Anolis sagrei: one gene and its partner. The main gene of each other region encodes a partner of the protein of the gene in region 2 in a complex. Links are inferred from orthologs where the notes say so. Each region holds a gene or a part of one and is shown on either strand. Other genes may lie near its edges.

What was found.
Region 1: the proteins of RAN (region 2) and RANGAP1 are in contact, whole or in part, in a cryo-EM structure (PDB 9B62), measured with the Homo sapiens proteins. The link is inferred for Anolis sagrei from reciprocal best matches to the Homo sapiens genes RAN and RANGAP1. Residues at the interface, in NP_006316.1 of Homo sapiens: Asp18, Gly20, Tyr39, Val40, Ala41, Thr42, Leu43, Gly44, Val45, Glu46, Glu70, Lys71, Leu75, Arg76, Tyr79, Asp91, Thr93, Ser94, Arg95, Val96, Thr97, Asn100, Lys123, Asp128, Arg129, Lys130, Lys132, Lys134; in NP_001265580.1 of Homo sapiens: Ser29, Gly58, Asn59, Thr60, Asp86, Thr89, Gly90, Arg91, Leu92, Arg93, Ile96, Asp121, Ala123, Phe124, Gly125, Asp127, Asn151, Cys152, Gly153, Met154, Gly155, Arg189, Asn190, Arg191, Gln217, Asn244, Asp245, Asn246, Thr247, Asp273.

Annotation. Positions count from the first base shown.
Region 1 is NC_090025.1:161,611,081-161,618,103, reverse strand, and holds the start of RANGAP1 (ran GTPase-activating protein 1), read right to left. Parts: upstream 3,015-7,023; 5' UTR 2,805-3,014; exon of another isoform or gene 2,745-2,804; intron 1-2,744. UniProt on the Homo sapiens protein: GTPase activator for RAN. Converts cytoplasmic GTP-bound RAN to GDP-bound RAN, which is essential for RAN-mediated nuclear import and export. Mediates dissociation of cargo from nuclear export complexes containing XPO1, RAN and RANBP2 after nuclear export.
Region 2 is NC_090034.1:37,904,090-37,911,791, forward strand, and holds the start of RAN (GTP-binding nuclear protein Ran), read right to left. Parts: upstream 3,015-7,702; 5' UTR 2,890-3,014; intron 2,554-2,889; exon of another isoform or gene 2,396-2,553; intron 2,166-2,395; 5' UTR 2,159-2,165; coding exon 2,120-2,158; intron 1-2,119. UniProt on the Homo sapiens protein: GTPase involved in nucleocytoplasmic transport, participating both to the import and the export from the nucleus of proteins and RNAs. Switches between a cytoplasmic GDP- and a nuclear GTP-bound state by nucleotide exchange and GTP hydrolysis.

The DNA of each region.
Region 1 (7,023 bases), on a different chromosome or scaffold from region 2:
TGTACTTTGTGTTTACGTAAGGGATCCCTTTGCAACTGCAGTACAACAGCTTTGTGTAGCATTTCTGAGCACAATACAAAAACTGCTAGTAATCTCTTTCAAAGCGCTAAACACACATTATTTCAAAAGGTCCCTTTTCCTCACATGTTTCCACTGACCCACAGAGTTTGGCTGCATTGTCAGAAATGCAATTTGGAGATGGAGCAGCCCATTTGTAGTTGATAGGACCAGTATTGTGTAGTATTTACTGGCTTTTACTTGCGCTTAATCCACAAGGCCAGCTAGGATCAGTGGGTTGTTGTGAGTTTTCCGGGCTGTATGCCATGTTCCAGAAGCATTCTCTCTTGACGTTTCAGCTGAATCTATAGCAGGCATCCTCAGAGATTGTGAGGTCTGTTAGAAACTAGGAAAATGGGGTTTATATATCTATGGAATGTCCAGGGTGGGAGAAAGAACTCTTGTCTGTTTGAGGTAGGTGTGAATGTTTCAACTGGCCACCTTGATTAGGATTTAATGGTCTAGCAGTTGCCTAGTTTCCAACAGACCTCCTCACAACCTCTGAGGATGCCTGCCATAGATGCAGGCAAAATGTCAGGAGAGAATGCTTCTGGAACATGACCATACAGCCCAGAAAACTCACAACAACCCAGTCATTCCGGCCATGAAAGCCTTCAACAATACATCCAACTAGGATCGCTTCTGAAATTCAAAAAGGACTGCAACTGCATTATTTCTTAATTATTCATGGAAATCACGAATCATATATCAACTTTTTTACTATATGGAGGCAATGAGCCGCTCCTGATTCCTCACTATTCTTACTAGGTAAAGGCTTCCCCCTGACATTAACAATGCTTGACTGGGGGTTGGTGCTCATCTCCATTTCTAAGCCGAAGAGCTGGCATTGCCTATAGACACCTCCAAGGTCATGTGACTGGCATGACTGCATGGAGCACCATTACCTTCCTGCCAGGGTGGTACCTATTGATCTACTGCAAACTGCTAGGTTGGCAGAAGCTGGGGCTAGCAGCACGAGCTCACACTAGTCCCTGGATTCGAACCTGCAACCTTTCGGTTAGCAAGTTCAGCAGCTCAGCGGTTTAACCCACTACACCACTGGGGGTTCCTTATTTATTTACCATATTTATATCCTGCAATCTCAGCCCAAGGGTGACTCAGGGCAAATGGCACAATTTGATATTCACAATAACGTAAAAACAATTAATACATTTAGCATAAATAACATTAAATAAAATAATAAAACCCATAAAAGTATAAATCCTCAGCGTCTCATTACTAAAATCATTATCTCATCGCATTGTCCAGTTGTTCCAAAGATCAGTTTGTCTGCTACACTGCATTTAGGAAAGCTTGCACAAAAAGCCAAGTTTTAACTTTTTTACGAAATATTATGAGGTTGGGGGCTGATCTGATATCCCTACTATTCGTATTAGTATTGTGTGTTTTATGAAGACATTGAATGTTTGCCATTGTTATGCTGGAATCCGCCATGAGTCCTCTCAGGGAGAAAGGGTGGAATACAAATAATGTTGTTGTTGTTATTGTTATTATTATTATTTGAAACACAACAAGATGAGTCCATAGCAGACAAGATCACTCTGCTGGCTGTTGTATTGGATCACACATCAGACACTTCCTAGGTGTCTAGGACTGTGTGATGTATCGGGAAATAATGTGTGCTGATCCCAGTAAGGTGACCTTTTGCAGCTGGCAGATGGTAATCTTGTCAGTACCGATTGGGTTTAAGTGCAGGACAAAGTCTTTAGGCACTGCACCCAGTGTGCCGATCACCACTAGGACCACCTTGACTGACTTGTGCCAGAGTCTTTGCAGTTCGATCTTTAAATCCTCATATCGTGTCAGCTTTTCCAGTCGTTTCCCTTCAATCCTGCTGTCACCTGGGATTGCAACATCGACGATCCATACTCATGAGGTCAGGAGTATTGTGCTCCAAAACTCTGTCTGAATCCAGAAGTCCCAGAGGAGTTTGACATGTTCATTCTCTGTAACTTTTCCCGGCTTGTGATCCCACCAGTTCTTTGTGACAGGCAGATGGTATTTGTGGCACAAGTTCCAATGAATCATCTGAGCATTATTATTACTACTACTACTATCCCTTTCCTATGCATTTTCCAATTTATTTTTGTCATCATTTATATAATCATCTACACTGTAGAATTAATGAAGTTTGGTCCTGCTTGAACTGCCAAGGCTCAATGGGAGTTGTAGTTTGTTGAGGCTCCCATGATACCACACCACTGAGACACCTTAAGTGGTGTCAAACTTAATTAATTCAACGGTGTAGACTAGGCATGGGCAAACTTGGGCCTTCCAGGTGTTTTGGAGTTCAACTCCCATCATTCCTCACAGCCTCAGGCCCCTTCCTTTTCCCCCTCAGCCGCTTAAGCGGCTGAGGGGGAAAAGGAAAGGGCCTGAGGCTGTAAGGAATGATGGGAGTTGAACTCCAAAACACCTGGAAGGCCCATGTTTGCCCAGGCCTTTGGTCCCACGGGGCGTGACGTCACACACGGAAGAAACTGATCAGTTTTGGATAGGCTTTCCAATCCCGGTCTGTAATAGCCCAGGACACGTGTACCGTGACGACGTGTGGATGCGCCCACACGTGTAGCCCTGGGGCCAAACGCCAGCGTGTCTTTCCTTCCTCAAACTGCCGGGAAACGCGAGGAAACTTTATTTCAGAGGAACAAAAATAATTAACTCACCCTCCCACGCTTCTTTCCGCCGTTTAGTCAAACGTGCTCCAATAAATCAAACCCACGAACCTGCGGAGTCCCCCGATCGCAGCCCTTCACGTCGCCGCGCTCTTGCCTCTGGAGAAGAGGGGGAGGAGGATGGCGTTAGCAGGAGGCGGAGGATTTGAAAGCCGGCAGTTTTGTTTCCTGGATGGTGATTCGCTGTCTTAGCGCTTCTGTTTCTTGCGCTTGCGCAGAGTGGATCTTGGTCCTCCTCCTCGTCCTCCCAGAGGCCCTCCTCGTGCAGCCAGGGGTGGCTCAGAGACTGAGGCGGGTGGGCAGCGGGAGGGGGAGGTCACAATTTCGTGCCTCGCGACGCAGCCGCCTTTGTCGCGAGGCATCATGGGAGTTGTAGTTTTTAATAACCAAACGTTTGAAGCCGTTTGAGGAAGGCACCAGGAAGCAGCATTCCTTACCAATTGGGTTCTAGACTAGAGAAGGCTCCTGGACCTTGTGTAGAAGACGGAATTTCCTTGTTTCTTTGTGCCCATCTACATTCTAGACTTAACGCAGTTTGACAACTATTTTGGCTGCCAGGGCTCAATCCTATGGAATCCTGGGAGTTGTAGTTTAAGATCTTTAGTCTTCTCTGCCAAAGAGTACTGTATTAGTACCTCACCGAACTACAGTTCCCATTATTCCATACCATTGGGCCACTGCAATTAAAGTGATTTCAAGCTGTGTTAATTCTACAGTGTAGATCAGGCCAACTTGGGCCCTCCAGGTGTTTTGGACTTCAACTCCCACCATTCCTAACAGCCAGTAGACCAGGCACGGGCAAACTTGGGCCGTCCAGGTGTTTTGGACTTCAACTCCTGATATCGAGCTAGAATTTAGAGGCTCCCGCAAGGCAACATCTTTGAAAAAACAGCTGGACGCCAGGTTGGGGTTTTAGAGGCTAAAAAGGTTATTCCCGGGGCAGCAGAGCAAAACTAAGATAGCCATTAGTATTAGAATTCTCCCAGGAGAAGAATGACACAATTTTAGAAGCGATCCGTTGACTCGCAGATACGGGGCCCCGAAGGGTTTCCATACCCGCTGTTTAAGGGAGTGCAGTTTCGGCCTCCCCGGGATGCGAAAATCGCATTCCGGGAGGGCCGGCAGTTATCTGCAGCCCGGGAGAAGAAAGGTTTATCGAAAGAGAAGTTTGAGGCAGTAAAGGGACACAAAGTAACACTATGGAGAGGAAAAAAGTTACAATTAATTCATACTTTTTATTGGGGGGATTCATTACAATGTTAGTAAGGGGGAAAGGCAAAGAAATTAGAAGGCTTCTGAGTTGCAGCTGCTGCTGTGGTCACGTTCATGCGGTTGGCCCAAGCGGGGCAATGGAGAACTGAGGAACTCCCTGCTGTGGGTCAGATCAACTTGAAGGCAGGGAGTTCCAGGTTCAGCCTCACCTAGAGGGCCCAAGTTGGCCTATGCCTGGTGTACATGCACCCAAAGTCAATAGAATTACTCTGTAAGTATTGCTTTCAAGAAGCAGGCCAACAGAATCATAGAGTTGGAAGATACCTTGTGGGCCATCCAGTCTAACCCCTGCCTGGGAGCAGGAAAATCACATTCAAAGCACCCCGACAGAGGACCATCCAGCCTCTATTTCATTTATCTATTTTTAAAAAACATTTCCATTCCAACCCTTCTCACGCTGAAGGGGACTCAGGGCAGAGCACAACACATATACGGCAAACATTAAATGCCAGAACATAAATAAACTATAAAAAAACATAAACATTAAAATCCGTTATCCCACTTTGAAATCAATTATTTAAAATCGTCTCAAAACAGCCATATTGACTTTGGTTGGCAGTGTAAAGTTTTCTGTTGTTGCCTTATTGCACTGCTCCAAAGGCAGTGCAAAAACCCAAGCTCTTACCATCTTTCTGAATGACAGGAGGGAGTAGGCTGATCTAATCTTGCCAGGAAGGGAGTTCCGTAGCCAGGGAGGCAATCACTGAGAAGGCCCTGTCTCTCATCCCCGCCAATCACTGTGATGGTGACGAGACTGAGAACAGGGCCTCCCAATAAGATCTTAATCTCTGTTTAAAAGCCTCCAAAAAAGAGCCTCCACCACACTCCAAGGCAGTGAGTTCCACTGCTGAACAGCCCTCACAATCAGGAAGTTCTTCCTAATGTTCAGGTGGGATCGCCTTTCCTGTAATTTGAACCCATTGCTCTGAATCCTAGTCTCCAGGGCAGCAAAAAGGAAGCTTTCTCCCTCTTCCTTATGACATCCTTTCACATATTTATACATGGCCATCATGTCTCCTCTCAGTCTTCTCTTCTGCAGTATAAACACACCGTACTCATTTCTTTAAGATGCTCCTCATAGGGATTAATGGTTTCCAGACCTTTGATCATTTCAGTAGCCCACAGTATATACATACATACACACACACATATGGTGACATACACATTAAAATTAGAATATACACATTAATCAGCTGGTGACTATGAAGAGGGGGAAATCCCATTAATAGAAAGAGGAAGGAATGGAGAGAGCATAGAGTTCATTAGAGAGTGCATAAGCAAAGAAAACTGAGACAGCTTTAATTCCAAACACTTCCACTCCTCTCTGTTCTTTTGGCATTACAAGTTATACAATATATATAAATGTATTTTTGTTCTGCATATGAATGTAGCAAGAGATCTGTGAAAAAATACAAAGCACAATGATTACTTTCATAGGTAAAACAATATTTGTGCATGCATTAAAAAAAGGATTATCAGCCGCAAGAAAATTGATGTCAGGTGACAGGATATTCCTGCGTACTCTCCAAATGAGTGTTTTTAATATAAATGTTATTGTATTATCATTTTTAATTTTTTATGTCCAAATATTATTTTATGTCCAATTCTCCCACACCAGAAACAAGTTGCACTTTCTCAAGTCACTCCTGACACACACACACATTTACACTATTATTTATTTATTTATTTACAACATTTATATGCTGCCCTTCTCACCCCGAAGGAGACTCAGAGCGGCTTACATGTAAAAAGTAAATACAATATATTATATTACCATTTTGTTGTTGTTCATTTGTTCAGTCGTTTCTGACTCTTTGTGTCCGGCTCCCTGTTGGCAGTCACCACCCCCAGCTCCTTCAAGGTCAATCCAGTCACTTCAAGGATCCCATCCATCCATCTTGCCTTTGGTCAGCCCTTCTTCCTTTTTCCTTCAATTTTCCCCAGCATAATTGTCTTCTCTAAGCTTTCCTTTCTTCTAATGATGTGGTCAAAGTACTTAATCTTGGCCTCTACTATTTATTTATTTATTTATTTATTTATTTATTTACAGTTCTTATATTCCGCCCTTCTCACCCCGCAGGGGACTCAGGGCGGATTACAGTCAACACATATATGGCAAACATTCAGTGCCAGTTTTGACAAACAACGTTTAACACACAAATACACCAAGGCTATTTAACTTTTTTCTGGCCGCCAGGGGAGCTGCTGCTTTTCATCGTCCATCAGCGACACCGATGAAGTTCTTCCGCATTCCACATTCCCCGGAGTCTTTTTTCTTTATGGCCTCATAAATTAGTTAAATTTAGCCTCCCACACAAGGTGGTGCCTTATTTTCCTACTTGACAGATGCAACTGTCTTTCGGGTTGCAAAGGTCGACAACAGGCTACACAATGGCTGGACACCCACTCCAGCCCGGGCTGGCTTCAAACTCATGACCTTTTGGTCAGAGTGATCTTAGTGCAGCTGACACTCAGCCAGCTGCGCCACAATCCCGGTGCTATCCTTCCCTTCAATGAGCAGTACTATCCTTCCCTTCAATGAGCAGTCGGGCTTTATTTCCTGAAGTATGGACTGGTTGGATCTTCTCGCAGTCGAAGGCACTCTCAGAACTTTCCTGTGGCACCACAGTTCGAAAACATCTCTTCCTTTGCTCAGCCTTCCCCTTGGTCCAGCTCTCACATCTGTAGGTGACTATGGGGAATACCATTGCTTTAACTATGCGGATCTAGCACAATATTAATACTATATATTCGATTGTACTATAACATTATACTGTAATATTGTTAGTAATATTACATGTAATATAAAATATATAATTATAATATTATTATTAGTATTACATTGTATTACATTATAATATTACCAATATTATATGTATATACAATATATTATATTATATTGTATTATATTATATCATATTATAAGCACATTGCAGGAGACAAGATGGAACTGCAGGTTTATGGTCCCACCAGTTATTTACTACTGGCAGGTGGTACT
Region 2 (7,702 bases):
TAGGAGGCATTTGTAAGTCGGATGTTTGTAACTCAGAGACTGCCTGTAAAGCTTTTTTGCTAGTTTTCTTTATATTTCATTCTAAGGGTTTTGAAGTTATACTCAATGGCTTTTCAGATGAAACTGAACTTCACAGTGTCAGCATGGTAGGTTTGTAAGCCCACTACTTTCAAACCTCAATACACCTTTAATTTGAGTTGAGTAACATAATATTTGGATATAATAGGGGGAGAAAGGGCTGCCATATATGTGGCACATTCAGCTCAATGGAGGAAAAACAGGACAAAAACGTTACAAATAATGTAAACTAATAAACTTGTAATTTAAAATCACCATCTCATTGTTTGAAATAACACAATGTAACAAAATTTGAAACATTTTCTGTTTCTGGTTTGAAAGTGTTATTTCCCGTATTAGTTGTGCGGTCCTTACTTTGAAAGCAGTTGTTCTACTCCAGAAAGTCATTTTTGTGGCTGCCATAAGCTAGGCTGAATCAGCCAAGACTATAGGCTAGTCATTAAAAGACTATAGCAAAATGTGCTATAGCAGGATGTCCCGCCAAAACGATTTTGAAGTTCAATGCACTTTGCCCATGCTTTTATGATAGAACCAATTAGGAAATGACATTTATAGCCCAGGAACAAAAACCATGTTGCTTAGGGCCCTTCCACACAGCCATATAACCCAGAATATAACCCAGAATATGCCGCCCTACATGAGAGCCATGCGTGACTTAGGGCCTTTTACTCTCACACTTAAGACCTGGCTTTTTACTAGAGCATTCGATCTCTGCTGATTTTTAATTTTTGTATGTATGTATTTTATCTTTTGTAATTTAGCTGTAAATCGCCTGGAGCATTCTCGGATGGAGGGTGATTAATAAGTTATTAAATGATGGTGATGTATATCAAGGCAGAAAATTCCACAATATCTGCTTTGAACTGGATTATGAATCCACACTGCCATATAATACAGTTCAAAGCCAATAATGTGGGATTTTATTCAGCTGTGTGGAAGAGAACATAGTGGGTTACAAATATATATCACACTACCAATAAAAATCAAACCAGACAGCCATGAAGTCCAAAAGCACAATGTTGCCTTCGGTTACCTAAAAGTTAAATTCTTCGGATCCTTAACACATTTAGGGCTCTTCCACACAGCCATATAACCCAGGGCCCTTCCACACAACCCTATAATCAAGATCAAGGCAGAAAATCCACAATATCTGCTTTGAACTGGGTTATCTGAGTCCACACTCCGATACTGTAGGATTTTCTGCCTTGGTATTCTGAGATAAAGAGCTATGTGAAAGAGCCCCCAGACTATCAAGGCTGATAACCCACAATATCCACTTGGAACTTGGTTATGTGAGTCCAAACTGCCGCAGTAGACTCTGGAACTCTCTGCCCTGGGAAAACTAGAATGGCCCCATCCTCCCTGCTGTCCTTCAGATAGCAAAATCCAACATTTTCATTCAGGTAGGCTTTTAAAGGTTTGTAAAGATCATCAAGGGGGGGGGGGGACTGCTGTGATTTTGTATGTGGTTAATGATGTTTTATACTGGTTTTAATACTTGTATATTTGAAGTTGTGCTGCAGTGCTTTTAGTTGTGAGCCGCTTTGAGAGCCCCTTCCACATAGCCCTATAGCCCAGAAGAAGATCAAGGCAGAAAATTCCACAATATTTGCTTTGAACTGGGGGTCCTTCCACACAGCCCTAAATCCCAGAATACCAAGGCGGAAAATCCCATAGTATCGGAGTGTGGACTCAGATAACCCAGTTCAAAGAAGATATTATAGGATTTTCTGCCCTGATATTCTGGGATATAGGGCTGTGTGGAAGGACCCTCAGTATGGAGAGAAAAAGTGGGACATAAATAAACATCAGATAATCCAACTCAATGTGGATTTTATACAGCTGTGTGGAAGGGAGTTACAAATTAGATGTCAAACTGTGCGCGTGGGGTTCCTGCGGATTCCTAGGCGAACAAAGGAAGCCACGCGCCACAGGGATCCTCCCGCCCCACCAAACAGGGGAAAAAGTTGTGGGGTGGGGAAACTGCTTTTCTTTTTAGTAAAGAATCTATTGGGGGAAAGAGGGCTCAGAGGCTGCTTACCTTAAACTGGACTTGGGGTTCTCCTTGCGGGGCGGCCATGCTGCGTCTGGAGAGGAAGAGGAGCGAGGGAGGGAGGGAAGAAGGAAGGAAGGAAGGCAAGAGGCGTGATCGGTGAGGAAGGCCCTATTCGCCCGAGCTCCCCAAAAGGCGCGTGGCGGCCTCTGCATCCGGGGCGCGAGGCAGGAAGTGGCAGCCGGAGCGGCCAATGGCGCCCCCCCCCCAAACAAGCCTCGCCTAGCCTGGCCTCGCCTCTCTTCTTCCCCCCCCCTCCCCCCGGGCCCGGAATGGCTCAGCACAATCGAGGGGCGTAAGGCAGCGCTTGCAAACAATACGCCGGAGGGACAAGGCGAGCCATTGTGATCGCCTCAGAAACGAGGCAAGAGACGGCCTTGGGGCAGAGCTCTCTCTGAGGGAGACGGAGAAGTACCACCCACGTACGTTGTTTGCCGGCAGATCCCTCAGGTGGGATCCGCCCGGTGCCTGACTGCTTCTCCGCGGAGATCCGCCTCCTCCTGGCGGGCACTTCCCGCGGGGGACCGAGACTGAGGCGCGGCCGCCCCTCCCCCTCCCTCCCCCGCCAACCGCCGCCCCAACGGCCACCGCCGCGCGGGAATCTCCAGAGCGAGACACGCACCCTCCTGGCGGGCCTCAGCCGGCGCCTCTCCCGCTCGCCTGCCCGCCTAGCGCTGCCCTGAGGCGCCTCCGCAGCCTGCGAGGGCCTCCCCGGCTCGCTCCCCCTCGGCCTCCCGCCTCTCCTGCCCCAGAGTTACCTTCCCGGGGCGGTTTTCTTTCTCACTCCGCTCGCTCTTGGCTCTCTCTCTTGTCTCCCTCCGCGAGCTGGGCGGACGGCTGAGGAAGATGGCGGAAGCGCGAGGGTTCAAATAGCCGTAAAAAAGAAGGGGGAAAGGGGGCGGGGCGTGCGCGCGGGGGCCACGCAGGCCTGACGTCACAGAGGCCCGCGCGCGCTCACAAACGGGCAAACAGGGCGGGGGGAGGGGCGGGCTCCGTGTCACGTGGCTGCCTCGGAAGGCGGAGGAGGAGGAGAGGGAGAGCCCGGCTCTTCGCGCCTCTTTCTCGCCGCGCTCACTCGCTCGCTCGCTCGCAGGGCTTTTCCACTCGGCCATCTCACCCAGAATATCAAGGCAGGGAATCCCACAGTATCTGCTTTGAACTGGGTTATTGGAGTCCACACTGCCACATAGCCCACTTCAAAGCAGAGATTGGGGGATTTTCTCCTGCTGTGTGGACGGGGCCACAGGCAGGCAGGCAGGCAGTCCAGCCGAAGGCAAGGAGGCGCTCTCCGCCTGGGTGGAAGAAAGGGCCGCTCTCCCCCGTCCTTTCTCTCTGGTGGCCGTGAAGACTCAAGCCGTTTCCAACCAGTCATTTAACTCAGAATCTCAAGGCAGGAAATCCAAAATATCTGCTGTGAACTGGGTTATTTGGCAGTGTGGACTCAGACAATCCAGTTCAAAGCAGATATTGTGGGATTTCGTGCCTTGCTATCCTGGGTTATATGGCTGTGGAAGAGCTCTCAGGCTCCTTCCACGCCAAAATCCTACCATATCTGCTTTGAATTGGAATATATGGCAGTGTGGATACGACTAACCCAGGCCCTTCCACATAGCCCTATATCCCAGAATATCAAGGCAGAAAATCCCACAATATCTGTTTTGAAGTGGGTTATCAGAGTCCACACTGCCATATATTCCAGTTCAAAACGGATAATATGGGATTTTATTCAGTGGTGGGATTTTTTGCCTTAGATATTCTGGGATATAGGGCTGTGTGGAAGGGCCCTGGGGTCCCTTCCACACAGCTGAATAAAATACATTATCTCCTTTGAACTGGGATATATGGCAGTGTGGACTCAGATAACCCACTTCAAAGCAGATTTTGTGGGATTTCCTGCCTTGAGATTCTGGGGGTCCTATAGCCCAGAATATTAAGGCAGAAAATCCCACATTACCTGCTTTGAACTGGGTTATCAAGAGTCCACACTCAGGTAATGTGGGATTTTCTGCCTTGATATTCAGGGATATAGGGCTGTGTGGAAAGGCCCCCAGAATACCAAGGCAGAAAATCCCACATCTGAGTGTGGACTCAGATAACCCAGTTCAAAGCAGATATTGTGGGATTTTCTGCCTTGATATTCTGGTATACAGGGCTGTGTGAAAGGACCCTCAAATAACTCGGTTCAAAGCAGATCTGGTGGACTACCAGGTATTCTAGATCAGTGGTTCTCAACCTGTGGGTCTCCAGATGTTTTGGCCTACAACTCCCAGAAATCCCAGCCAGTTTACCAGCTGTTAGGATTTCTGGGAGTTGAAGGCCAAAACATCTGGGGACCCACAGGTCGAGAACCACTGTCCTAGATTATATGGCTGTGTGGAAGGGCCCTTGTAGAATCCAGTTCAAAGCAGATCATTTGGATTCAGAAACTGAGTTGCTGTGGCAGTATAGATCCAGCCCGAGTGTCTGCTATATAATGAACTGCAGTTAATCCCCGAGTTACAAACATCCGGCTTACAAACAACTCCTAATTAAAAATAGGGCTGAGACTCCTTCCACACAGCTGAATAAAATCCCATATTATCTGCTTTTAATTTGAATATATGGCAGTGTGGACTCAGATAACCCAGTTCAAAGCAGATATTGTTGGATTTTCTGCCTTGATATTCTGGGTTATGACTGGAAGGGCCCCGAGACAACAGGAAGGGAGAGATATCTATCCCAAGGAAGGGAAATCCACTCCTGGAAAATCGAGTCTCTACTGAAGCTTTATCCCCAGTTGTTGTTTCTACAACAAGCCACATTTCTCAAAATCCAATTATCACAGGGATAGAAAGTGTGGGAACACTTTATTCTAAACAGGGGCATAGGCAGCAAAACGCCACAGGAATATTGACCCTGAAGTGTGACCCAAAAAAACCTTATATATTTGGTTGGAGTTACACTCAAGAAATGTCCCTGTTCCTATTTACATACAAATTTAACTTACGAACAAACCTACAGAAACAATCTTGTTCGTAACTTGGGGACTGCCTGTACTTGCTTGGATTTTCATGACCGCTAGCATGAGTTGCCTGAGGAATTTATTGACTACAGCCCCTTCCAAACTCTCAACCTGCTGTAACACTTCTTTGTTGTGCTATTTGTGCTTAGATATACAAGTTATATAATTTATACCCATTTATTATTTCATAATAGGAGCCCCCCAGTGGTGCAATGAGTTAAATCCTTGTGTCAGCAGGACTGCTGACCAAAAGGTAGGCGATTCGAATCTAGGGAGTGGGGTGAGCTCCTGTCAGCTCCAGCTTCCCATGTGGGGACATGAGAAAAGCCTCCCACAGGATGGAAAAACATCCAAGCGTTCACTGGGCAACATCCTTGCAGACAGCCATTTTTCTCACACCAGACATGACTTGCTGTTTCTCAAGTTGTTCCTGACACACACAAAAATCACAATACTTTTAGTTCACAAAGGATTTGTGAGTTTAGTCTTCTGATGAGACAAATGTGTAATTGGTATGTGATGGTCAGTTGTTTCTAGGCATTATTCCTGGCGAGGGAGTGTGTTTGTGTGTGTAGCGGGGGAAGCACACTTACAGCAGGTCCTAGCGATTGGTCTTCCCACTGTATGCATTTACATAGACAGAGAACACAAGGGCACCAGTGCTAGCAGAGGAATGGATTTTGTAGGATCAGCATGACTACAGTCCTTACCTCAGCATAAGCTCCACTGATATAAGCAAAGTTGCCTTTTGACTGCATAGCTTCAATTTGTAAAACATACTACACTTTGGAAAAATTACTTTTTAGGTCAACCATTTCCAGAATCTCTTAAGAATGTGAGTGTTGTGGTCCAAGAAGTAGCTTTTTCACATTTTTCAGTGACGACTATTCATTCGGTTTAATTCAGTGTAAAGTCTTCAATTGAAAATGCAACTTAAACAGTTCATATGAAATAAAAACTTTAGCAAAGAGAAAGAAGCCCATTTCAAACGTTCTCCATTCTGCAGGCTATGAGAGCAATTGTTTGGTTTTCTCCTGCTGTTCTCTAGTAAGTGGTGTATTTTGCTTCTGTACAAGATTTGTATTGTATTCTCTGAGGTTTGGGGACCAGGGAGGAGTAACAACATTTCTATTTGTAATTTTCCTGTGCTTTCCACTGGTTTTTTCCATCTTTTTATTTACAACAACAAATGTCTATGAAAAAAAGGAAGATAAAATAGCTGCAGGATGCCTTCTGACCAACAAAGCTAGAAGCTGCGTGGCTTAAAGTACTTTTGTTTGGAGGCAGCATATAGCCAGCCATCTTGACTAATACACATTCGTTGAGAGCATTATTCTCCAAGAAAGCTATCCAATGTCCCTTTCAGAGCCACATAAATTGATGGTCATCAACACATTATGTGGGCATCAATTCTACAATTAGTATTTGCCCTCAGCAATTAAATTGTAAAATTGAAAGCTCCTTCAGTGCCCTGGGATGCAGTTCATCTGGCCCTGCTGATCTGAACTCATTCTGGTTAGTAAGGTGATTCATGACTAACATCCTATCAATCCTGAGTTGCAATTAAAATCCCTAGTTAGTATATCTGCTGCTACATGGAAGTGCACACTTCTCTTTTGGGGAGAAAAATCAAGTGGAATTAGTATTGAGTTCTGGCTTTTTCATTGTGAAATGTTAGCATTTTTGCTACCTTACCACTATTTCCTTGCCTTGAGTGTATCCAAAAGGGATCTAGGTGCCTTAGGGCCCTTCCACACAGCTCTATATCTCAGAATATCAAGGCAGAAAATCCCACAATATCTGATTTGATCTGGGTTATCTGAGTCCACACTCAGATAATGTGAGATTTTCTGCCTTGATATTCTGGGAAATAGGGCTGTGTGGAAGAGGCCTTAGAGTCCAGACAGGCCCAATATCCCAGGATCTGTACAATTTATAGGAAATACAGAACTGTCAAATTCAAACTTCCCGTGCCCCTTGCTGGCTTCACGCCGATTGGTTGGAGTCATCAGCTGGAGGGAGGCGCGGCCGGCTCAGGCGTGCCTTGGCCAATAGGGAAGCCAGCGCTGCTTTGGCTTCTGAGCCAATGGGAATTGAGGAGGCAGTACAAGCAGGAAACAAAGAACCGAGAGGAAAAAAAATTAGTGGATTAAATGTAACTTAATGGTTTGTCCGATGGCCAGCGATAATCCGGATATTCCTCAAGCTGGCCTGGTATTGTCCCGTGGGGGTGAAATATACAAAAATGGTTGGCGCGGCTGCCAAGCCTTGATAATCTTTTGTCCTGGATATGGGATCAATTGATGCTATCTGTGTGTTGGTTTCAGCCAAGGGTGCAAAGACAATGGGTGAGGCGGATGGGGCATCCTGATCTTTCCTGAAGGCAGGATGTACCATTGTTGATGAGTGATAGAGTCACCATGGGGGTGCTTTCCTAGGCGGTCATGCTCCGAGACCCAAGAGGCACCGTTGTTATTATTATGCAATAAGTCTTTGTTGGAGTCCTTAAGTCAGTGGGGAATTCATCTCAGGAAATAGGAAGGAATTTCCCAAGAGTTTGTTATGCTGGG